Oryctolagus cuniculus: one gene and its partner. Each later gene encodes a partner of the first gene's protein in a complex. Links are inferred from orthologs where the notes say so. Each region holds a gene or a part of one and is shown on either strand. Other genes may lie near its edges.

Evidence for each region.
Region 2: the proteins of LLGL1 (region 1) and PRKCI are in contact, whole or in part, in a cryo-EM structure (PDB 8R3Y), measured with the Homo sapiens proteins. The link is inferred for Oryctolagus cuniculus from reciprocal best matches to the Homo sapiens genes LLGL1 and PRKCI. Residues at the interface, in NP_004131.4 of Homo sapiens: Ala315, Asp319, Glu367, His391, Ser392, Ala394, Thr396, Glu453, Cys483, Glu484, His485, Phe506, Asp507, Pro508, Tyr509, Ser510, Asp511, Pro513, Gln518, Lys519, Lys569, Ala600, Val601, Thr602, Leu644, Gly648, Pro649, Leu650, Ser651, Arg652; in NP_002731.4 of Homo sapiens: Asp339, Met341, Gln345, Arg348, Leu381, Asp382, Met399, Thr412, Phe413, Cys414, Pro417, Leu425, Glu445, Gly449, Arg450, Ser451, Gly457, Ser458, Ser459, Asp460, Asn461, Pro462, Asp463, Asn465, Thr466, Glu467, Asp468, Tyr469, Leu470, Phe471.

Annotation. Positions count from the first base shown.
Region 1 is NC_091448.1:62,289,953-62,294,475, forward strand, and holds the start of LLGL1 (lethal(2) giant larvae protein homolog 1), read right to left. Parts: upstream 3,017-4,523; 5' UTR 2,924-3,016; coding exon 2,843-2,923; intron 146-2,842; coding exon 48-145; intron 1-47. UniProt on the Homo sapiens protein: Cortical cytoskeleton protein found in a complex involved in maintaining cell polarity and epithelial integrity. Involved in the regulation of mitotic spindle orientation, proliferation, differentiation and tissue organization of neuroepithelial cells.
Region 2 is NC_091435.1:110,069,468-110,073,824, forward strand, and holds the start of PRKCI (protein kinase C iota type), read right to left. Parts: upstream 2,913-4,357; 5' UTR 1,362-2,912; coding exon 1,261-1,361; intron 1-1,260.

The DNA of each region.
Region 1 (4,523 bases):
GGTGCTCCCAAACAGGCTCCGGCCCACCTCCAGGCCGCGGAGGATACATCTTGACAGCCCCGGACCGGGTGCCGATGGCCATGATGCGGAGTTCGGGGTCGAAGGCCAGGGCGCTGGGCTGGTTGGGGAAGCCATGCTCCACAGTCTGCGAGAGAGGGGACGCACGCTCAGGCCCCAGGTGGCCGCCGGGCTCTGCCATCGACACGGGGGCCCAGAGCCAGGCTCACCTGCTCCTCGTGCCCCAAGGCCTTCCAGTCGGTGGAGGGGGGGGGTTGGGAGCACCATGCTACATGACTTTGCTGCGTGCACGGCCCTGAGGCCCACCCACCTCAAGCCCCGGTTCCCTCAGTGCCCCACCCCCCCACCCCGCGACTGTACAGCGCGAGGCTTTCGGGGTGCACAAGGACCCCACCTGCCCTATGGGGGGCTTTGCACCCCGGTCCCAGAGGCACAGAGCTCCCCAAACACGCCTCGCGAGGAGGTCAGAGGTCAAAGACTAGGAGGTCGGAGGTCAAGGGCTAACACCTGGATTCCCTCCAGAGACAGGAAGACAGATGCAGAGAGAGGTAGCTTCCTGTCTAGCCGCTAAAGGCACTGAGGGTGGTGTCCAGGGCCGGTGCAGTGCGACCCCTCCCCCTGCCTGCCAGGCCTTCTTCCATACGTCCTCCCAGAGGGCCCTGCCGGTGTACCTGGGCCCACAGTGCACCATGCAGGGTGTGTGGGCCACCAGTGCCTCCAGACCACCAGGCTAAGGAAGCTACACACTTGCAAGAAGCCCCATGCCCAGGGGGGTCATTCTGCGGCCTGCCTCCCCAGCCTCGGCCTGTCCAGGTAGGGCCAGAGCCTACCGGGCAGCTGGCCTGGCCACAGGCCTGAGCCAGTTCACAGCACCATGCCAGCCTCAGTTTCCCATCTGGGCACGGCCATCTGAGGACAGAGCCACCCATGGGGCTGGAGAGCCACAGTGTGGGGGGGGGAGCTTCCCCTTCCCACCAGCACCGCCCTGGGCAGACCCGACCTGGTCAAGTGTCCAGCAGGCGGGCATCTCACACACAGCGCCCCCACACAAACATACACTGGGCTCCCCACCTGACAGAGGAGGAGGGAGACACAGGGTGAGGTCATGCACACGGCACCTGCTGCCCTCACACCCTACACGCCAACCCACTGGAACTACTACTCAGCAGAAGCCCCTCCCCTGCTCAGGACCCCCTTGGGCTCCCAGGTCAGCGGAGTCAAGGCCAAGTCCCTCGCTTCCCCCACCTGACTGCAAGGCCCACTGCCCCGCACTCCCCACATCTCAGGAGGCCTCAGATCCCTGTGCACCGCCCAGCCCCCCACCCCTGTCCACACCCCCCACACCTGGCCCTACCTCAATTCCCACCCAGCACTGTCTGCCGTCCAAGCTGCTCAGACTTTGTGGCTTCTCTCCCCCGACTCCCACTAGCACATCAGTCCCCCGAGAGCTCTACGAAGTCACTGTCCCTTTTGGTCACTGCTGTGTGCCCAGCACCTGGGAGCCCCAAGTGAGTAGGGGCTCGGTATTAAAGACGAGGAGCGCACGCACGTTCCACACATCTGAACCCAGAGCCTGAAGTCCGTGCTCACCCCGGCCCCAAACTCAGGCCAGGGGCCCCTTCTCTGGGAGCACTGGCCAGTCCCTTCCACGGCCAGGCCACTTCCCCGAGACCACGCGCCTGCCACTCATCGCCACCCAGGGGAGGCTGAACCTCACCCCCAGCTGACTCAGGCCCCACTGCGGAAGTACCCGCTCCAGCCTCGCATCGCGGGTCTCTCCCTACGGGGCTCACCCTCACAGCCCTGCGGCACGGAACAGGTGCCCACCACCCAGGCAGGAGCCCTGAGCCCCAGCCTCCCTCCTGGGCCCTCTAAGTCCCCCCTCCCACAGTCAGAGCCCTGCCTGTCCCAGCTGGGGGCAGCTCAGGACCACAGCAGCCCCTCAGAAAATCCTGCCTTGCCCTGCCCTGCCTGCCCCTGTCCCAGACTGTGAGTCCAGGAGACGTGCCCCGAGGCGCAGCCAGGCATGGTGCCTCAATTTCCCTCGCAATGAAACGGCGGGGGGGGGGGGGGGGGGCAATGCTCCGTCCTGCTGTGGGCTCCGGCTCCCTTGCCCCATTTCACAGCTAGGCAAATTGAGGTACCCCGGCTCCAAGTGCAGCTACCTGCACAGCCAGGCGATGGCCCCTGGACTCCCGGGACTCCCGCAGGACAGAGCGAAGCGGGGGAGTGGGAAGGGGGTGTGTGCGTAGGGACTCATCACCAGACGGACTTCCCAGCCCCACCGCCAAGATCTGCCTCCACCCCTCACCCCTCCCGCAGGCTTGGGTGTGAAAGCAAAACAAGAACTCGGGGTCTCCGGGCAGGGGCACGGAGGGGGTCCCGAGGAGAGCCCACAAAAGCAGAGAGCCCCGCAGGGGGACGGGAGGCGGGCAAACAGCCGGAGACACACGGACCGAGGCGGAGACGCCCCCCGCCCCCCAGCACGCACGCACCGACCGAGGCCAGGGAGACGGTGCAGGGCGGCGCGGAAGGGGCCGAGACCCCCGAGACCCCCATGGAGACGCGCAGAGCCGGGCCGGCCAGGCCCGCAGGGAGCCCGAGAGGCGGGCGCGCAAAGTCGGCGGGACCCAGCCCCAGCCAAGCGTCCGAGCGCGGAGCAGCGGCAGGACGCGAGGCCAGGGGCCCGCCGAGGGGGCGCCGGCCGCGCCCGCCAGCCGCGCGCCCCCTCCCCCGCCGGGCCCGACGTGGCTCCGACCCCGGCCCCCCGGCCCGCCCCTCGCCGCCTCAGCGCGGGCCGCCGCCGCCGCCGCCGCCGCCGCACCTTGTGGAAGGCGAAGAGTTCCTGCTTGAGCTTCTCGCGCTGCGGGTCGGCGCCCTGACGCCGGAACCGAAACTTCATCATCTTGCGCCCGGCTGCCGGCGCCGCCGCCGCCGCCCCGCAGGATGCGCCGCGCGGCCCCGCCGGTCCTGAGGCGCGGGCGGGGCGCCAGGCGGCCCGGGCGCGGGCCCGCGGGGCGGGGCTTGCGGGGGGTGGGCCCTCGGCGCGACGGACGCGCCGCCCGGCCAATGGCCGCCCCCGCTGAACCGTCCGCCCCGCCCCTGCCCGCCAGACAATGGGGGAGGACTGGGGCCCCGGGCTGGGCCGGACTTGCGGAGGGGCGCCCGCTGAGCATGCGCCGCGGCGCGGGGCCCGTCGGGACTTGTAGTCCGCCATTCCGGGGCTCCGGCGTGGGCGGCTGGGGACGCGCTTTGGAAGGGGCCAGCGCGTGTCCCGGGCTTGGAGGAGTCTTCTCCAGAGAGAACGACGTGCACATTCACGTAAACAGGGGCGGCCCTGTCCCGGATGGGAAAGTTCCCTAGGCTCCTCAGGCTGTTTCCCCTCTCCGCCTGTGGGCCAACCGATTGCCGGGTTTCACCGGCCTCTCGGGGCACCCCAGGGTGCCAGAGGGCCTCCTCCCCCGCCATGCTTGTGTGGCCAGTCAGGAATGCCTTCCACAGCCTGCGGGGAACTCCTGCACACCCCGCAGGACCCCACGCAGAAGGCCCCGTGTCACGGGACTCCCCTGAGTGGCATCGACCCAAGACCACCGTGAGGGAGCCCTTCCGCGGGAGGGGGCGTTTGGGACTGCGCTGAGGCTGGATTTGGGCTCCTCTGGGACTGGGAACAGTGTGTAAACAAAGCTGCGCCCCGCCCCTCCCAGGCCGCCTTCTCTCTTCGGCACAATGGCTTGGGAAGCTGACCCTCTCCATCCACGCTAAAGCCAGGTCCCAGAAGCTTAGGTGGGGCCGGTGGGCGAGGTCCCAACCCCAGCAGCTGTGTCCAGGGAGGAGGGGCTGACCTCTGACCCCCAGGCAACTGCCAAGCCACGGGGGAGGGGCCTGGCTGCCCCCAAATCCACCCACACCCAGCCGGCCCTAACCCAGCCCTTCCTTGGAATTGGGGCTGGGTCCGGAGATGGGTGGGGATGCAGGGGGCGCCTGGAGAGGAGAGGAGGGAATGGGGGGGGGGGGAGCACAGCCGGGGGTGGGCAGGTCTGGGAGAGAGGCTGTCATCCCAGTTTTATGGACAAGAACGCTGAAACACACAGGGACAAAGGCAAGAAGAGGGTCTTGAATTGCGTGGGCAGGGCTGGCTGGACAGAGGAGGAGCGGACCTTTCTCTGGCCACTGCTCCCTCCAACACCCAGCCCGGGCAGCCCCAGAGGCCTGGGTGGGAGCCCCTGTCCTGCCACTCAGCCTCACTCTGGAAGTGTTAGGAAGTTAATTCACATCCTGACCTCACCATTAAAAAAAAAAAAAAAATTGAAAGAGATACGGAGGAGACGCACAACACACAGAGAGAGGTCTTCCATCGGCTGGTTCAGTCCCCCAAGTGGCTGCAATGGCCTGGCTCAGAAGCCGGGAGCTTCCTCCGGGGTCCAAGCCCTTGGGCCATCTTCCGCTGCTTTCCCAGGTGCATTGGCAGGGAGCTGGATCCGAGGTGCAGCAGGCGGGACACGAAC
Region 2 (4,357 bases), on another chromosome or scaffold:
TATGTTTAAGTAAAAGCAGTTATAATACTGTTCAACAACTCCTAAAAACTACTCGTGAATGCGGTCAAGCTAATAAACAAAAGCAGAAGCTTTGTGACAGCAAACTAGTAACTCCTTCCACAGAATCCATCTGAAAATTATGGGCTTATACTTTCCTGGAAATCAAAACAAGAGAGGCAATTTGAAAGTTTGCTGTCTCCACTGATCCTCTCAAGAATGAAAAACCATGCACTGCACTTCCAACCTTGCAGTGCTTGAGATTTTTAAAGCAATTTACTTCTGCCTGGACAAGCAGTAAGCAGGCCAAGGCACTTAGCTTTTCTGTTAACTCCTACATCTCAAACTTTTACGCTCACAAAAACATGTCACCTTTTTAATGCTCCTAAACATAATTATCTCGAAGACATTCAAACCACTACCGAATTCCAAGGGGGACATTTTAGGTCACCGATGATGGAATGTGAATTTACCACAATGATTTTAGGGCTGGATTATTTCTGGTACCCACAGAAGTTATTACTTAGGTAAGAATGTAAGGAAAGACCACAGAATTTAAGACCGGCCTCTTCCTCTTCTTACTTACAATACCTCACCCACTGACAAAGAGAGGTTCACAAATTTTTAATGACCACGTATGCAACTCATTGTGGGCGAGACCTAAGTACCTAGTGACCATCCCTGAAAACTCATCAACTTTACTCTTAAGCATTACTCTGGCGTCTAACGCACTGGCGGTCTGACCAGAGTGCAGATCCACTTCGTGAACTTTTCTACAGCGAAGAAGACAAACCTAACTTAAAGAACCAGAGACTCCGGGCCTGCTGATCATCGAAAAGGCCGATCACCTGAGGCAGTGCTGTCACTTCTACGTCCACAGCAAACTGAGTCAGTCGAGGCATCATCAGCTCTCGACCCCAAACTCACCCAGACTTCGTGACGTCAAGCCCTTGCAAATCTCTCGTCTCCACCAGGTGTACCTCCCTACCTATCCCAGGGCTCCTCCCTACCCTGGTCTTGGGTTCTCCCGGCAGTCCAACGCCCCGCAGCTGGGGGTGCTCCACACCTGGGGAGCTCGAATCCCGCGCCCCCTTGCTCCTCCCCCGGCTCAGGCACCCCCACGCCGAGTCCGCGGAGCCTCCCGCCCAGCCCAACGCGCCTACAACACCTCCAGCCTCCCACCCTTCCCTCCTCCAGGCCAAGTCCAGCTGGCCTTTCGCTCGCCTCCCACTCCCCACCCCCACCCCGCTCCGGGACACTCACCCACGGTAGTAAGCTTTCACTCGGACCTGGTGAGAATGGTCCCCGCTGCCGCCGCCTGCGACCGTGTGGGACATGGTGCTGCTGTCCCTCTGGGTCGGCATCGCCTCACTCCCCCGCCTCCACGCCCGAAGCCGAGGCTGCGGGGGGCACGCTGGGCGCCGTGGAGGACTCCGCCGCGCTAGGGCTGCGGCCGTCCGCTCGCCTACCTGCCCGCCTCGCCCGCGGCGCCGACACACAGGTCGCCTCGCCGGGCAGCCGGAACCGCGCGGCTCCTCCCACTGCCCGCGGCCGCTACCGCCGCCCGGGCCCAGCACGCCTCCCCGCCTCGGTCCCTCCCACCTAGCTCGCTTCCAAGGCCCACATTCCGGGCTTGGGCGGGCGCAACCATCGGTCCAGCTCAAGGAGCCTCAAAGCCAGGCTGAACCATCCTTTCGGGGGCAGAGAGAGGGACAGGAAAGAATGGGAGACTCCGACTGCCACATCAGACCCGCCAGGAGGGAGCCTCTTGCAGAAGCGGTGACAAAGGCTTTACACCTATGGTTCGGCATGATCCCCTTTCCTACATGGGAGACGGTAGGGTCCGAAAGCTACGGCATTTCACCCCAGTTTCCCAACTTGGTCGCGTCTGCGGTCAGCCGACTTGGCACCCCGGATAGCTTCGCCGTGCGGGTTTCTGGGATTTGGAGTCCCAGTGGGATTCTGGGACTTGCGGCTCTTACGTGTGGAATGCCGCGCCTTTTCGCTGAGCGCGTGTCTCCTGGGCGCTCCCTGGGAGCCGTTGGCGTGGAAATCCTGTGTACAGCTTGGGCATCTGAGGACACTGGAAAGGGATGGGCTTCATCATCATCCAGACTCTCCCCTCTGATGAAACCTTACTTCCAGTTGCATAAATCATCTCAATTATTGAGTGCCATTTTTGAGAACAAGAATTTGGTTAAGTGTTCAGCATAGCCTCTTTCATGCGTAAAATTTAATAATATGTTACTAATGTAATAAAGGACGAAACTCACCTAAAAGGTATGACGGAAGACACATCTTTCTTCCTTTGCAGCTCTGCTTCATATGCCTCTGCTTACTGCCATTACGTAGGACAGGTGCATAATGAATATTTCTCCAATCAATCAATCCATTCATCCATTAGCATTTGTTCGGTTGACCGTGGCAAATCAAGGACTCGAAAGAACCCACCCTTGTAAACTAGTCTGACTTTTCTAGTGTCTTGGCTCTGTCACATGCTCATAGCGGGAACTGAATACCCATTGCTCGCCAAAAGAGTTGGAATAATCAAAGAAATAGCTTTGTTTACGATAATAAAATAGGCTTGGGGGATTGATTCATCAGTTATATGGAACATTTACATTGGTATGATATCCTCTAACTGCTACAAACTTGGATTACAGGTTCTTAATAAACATTCTCGTTTATAAATTTGGTATCAAGTTTTTGGGCACTGGGGACCTGCATCAATATGGTAAATGTAGAACAGTTACCAATTGAATGTAAATTACATCTAAAGTGAGATGGATTGGATTCATGGAAAATTGAGTATGCTGTGACAGACTTGAAAGATTTTATAATACTCGAGAAAAAATTTATGGCCTATAAGAAGTGAAAATTTATAAAGAAATGAAAGATAAAGCATGAAAAAGAAAAAAAAGACTTTTTTTTTTGACAGGCAGATTTAGTGAGAGAGAGAGAAAGAGTTACAGACAGTGAGAGACAGAGAGAAAAGTCTTCCCTCTGTTGGTGCCACAGTCGGCGCTGCGCCGATCTGAAGCCAGGAGCCAGGTGCTTCCTCCCGGTCTCCCATGTGGGTGCAGGGACCCAAGCCCATCCTCCACTGCCTTCCCAGGCCACAGCAGAGAGCTGGACTGGAAGAGGAGCAACCGGGACTAGAACCCGGGGTGCCAGCGCTGCAGGGGGAGGATTAGCCAAGTGAGCCATGGCACCGGCCTCCTTTTTTTTTTTTTTTTAAGATTTATTTATTTATTTGAAATGCAAAGAGAGAGGGAGGGAGAGAGGTCTTCCATCTGCTGGTTCACTTCCCAATTGGCTGCGACAGCTTGGAGCCGCGCCAATCTGAAGCCAGGAGCCAGAAGCTTCTTCCAGGTCTCCCAGGTGGGTGCAGGGGCCCAAGGACTTGGGCCAACTTCTACTGCTTTCCCAGGCCACAGCAGAGAGCTGGATCACCGGTGCCCATATGGGATGCCAGCATACAGGCGGTGGCTTTAACTGCTACACCACAATGCTGGCGCCTATTATTTTTATTTTTGCATTAAACTTTGATAATACAGTAGTTATTAATCCATTTATATTTACATTACATTGATATGATAGATATGATAGATTCATTTAGTTTTCTTTAATTTATTTCAATGCTGTGCTGTGTAGCTTTCAGAATATACATTCTGCACTTATTTTGGTAAATATTCCTATGTATTTTATTCTTCTTAATGCTACTGTAAATGGAATTTTTAAATTAATTTTATTTTAGGATTATTCATTGTTAATATATAGAAATATAATTGGTTTTTGCATATTGATCTTCTACAAGCTTGCAGAACATGCTTATTACATGGATTCCTTAGGATATTCTATCATTTAAAAGTATGTATTTTTAAAAATACGTATAGATTTATATCTTCCTTTCAAATTTTGGGTGCATTTTATTTATTTTTCTCTTACCTAATTACATCAGTTAGAATATCCAGTACTAAGATAAATAGGAGAGTGTAGACATCCTTTTCTTATTCCCAACTTTAGGTTGATAACTTTCAGTCTTTTACTATTAAGTGTGATCATTGCTCCAGGTTTTTTGTGGATATCCTTTATCAGGTTGAAGACATCCCATCCTATTCCTAGCTTGTTAATTTTTTATTATGAAAGACTACTGGGTTTTGTTAAGTGCTTTTTCTATGTTAATTGAGATAATCATGTAGTTTTCTATGGATAATACAATACATACTTTGTTATATTATTGATATTATATATTATTATAATTGATTTTAGGATTTAAGCCAACTTTGCATTCTTTGGATAAATCCGACTTGATGATATACAATTCTTTTTATATGCTTCTGGTTTCAGTTTCTTAATA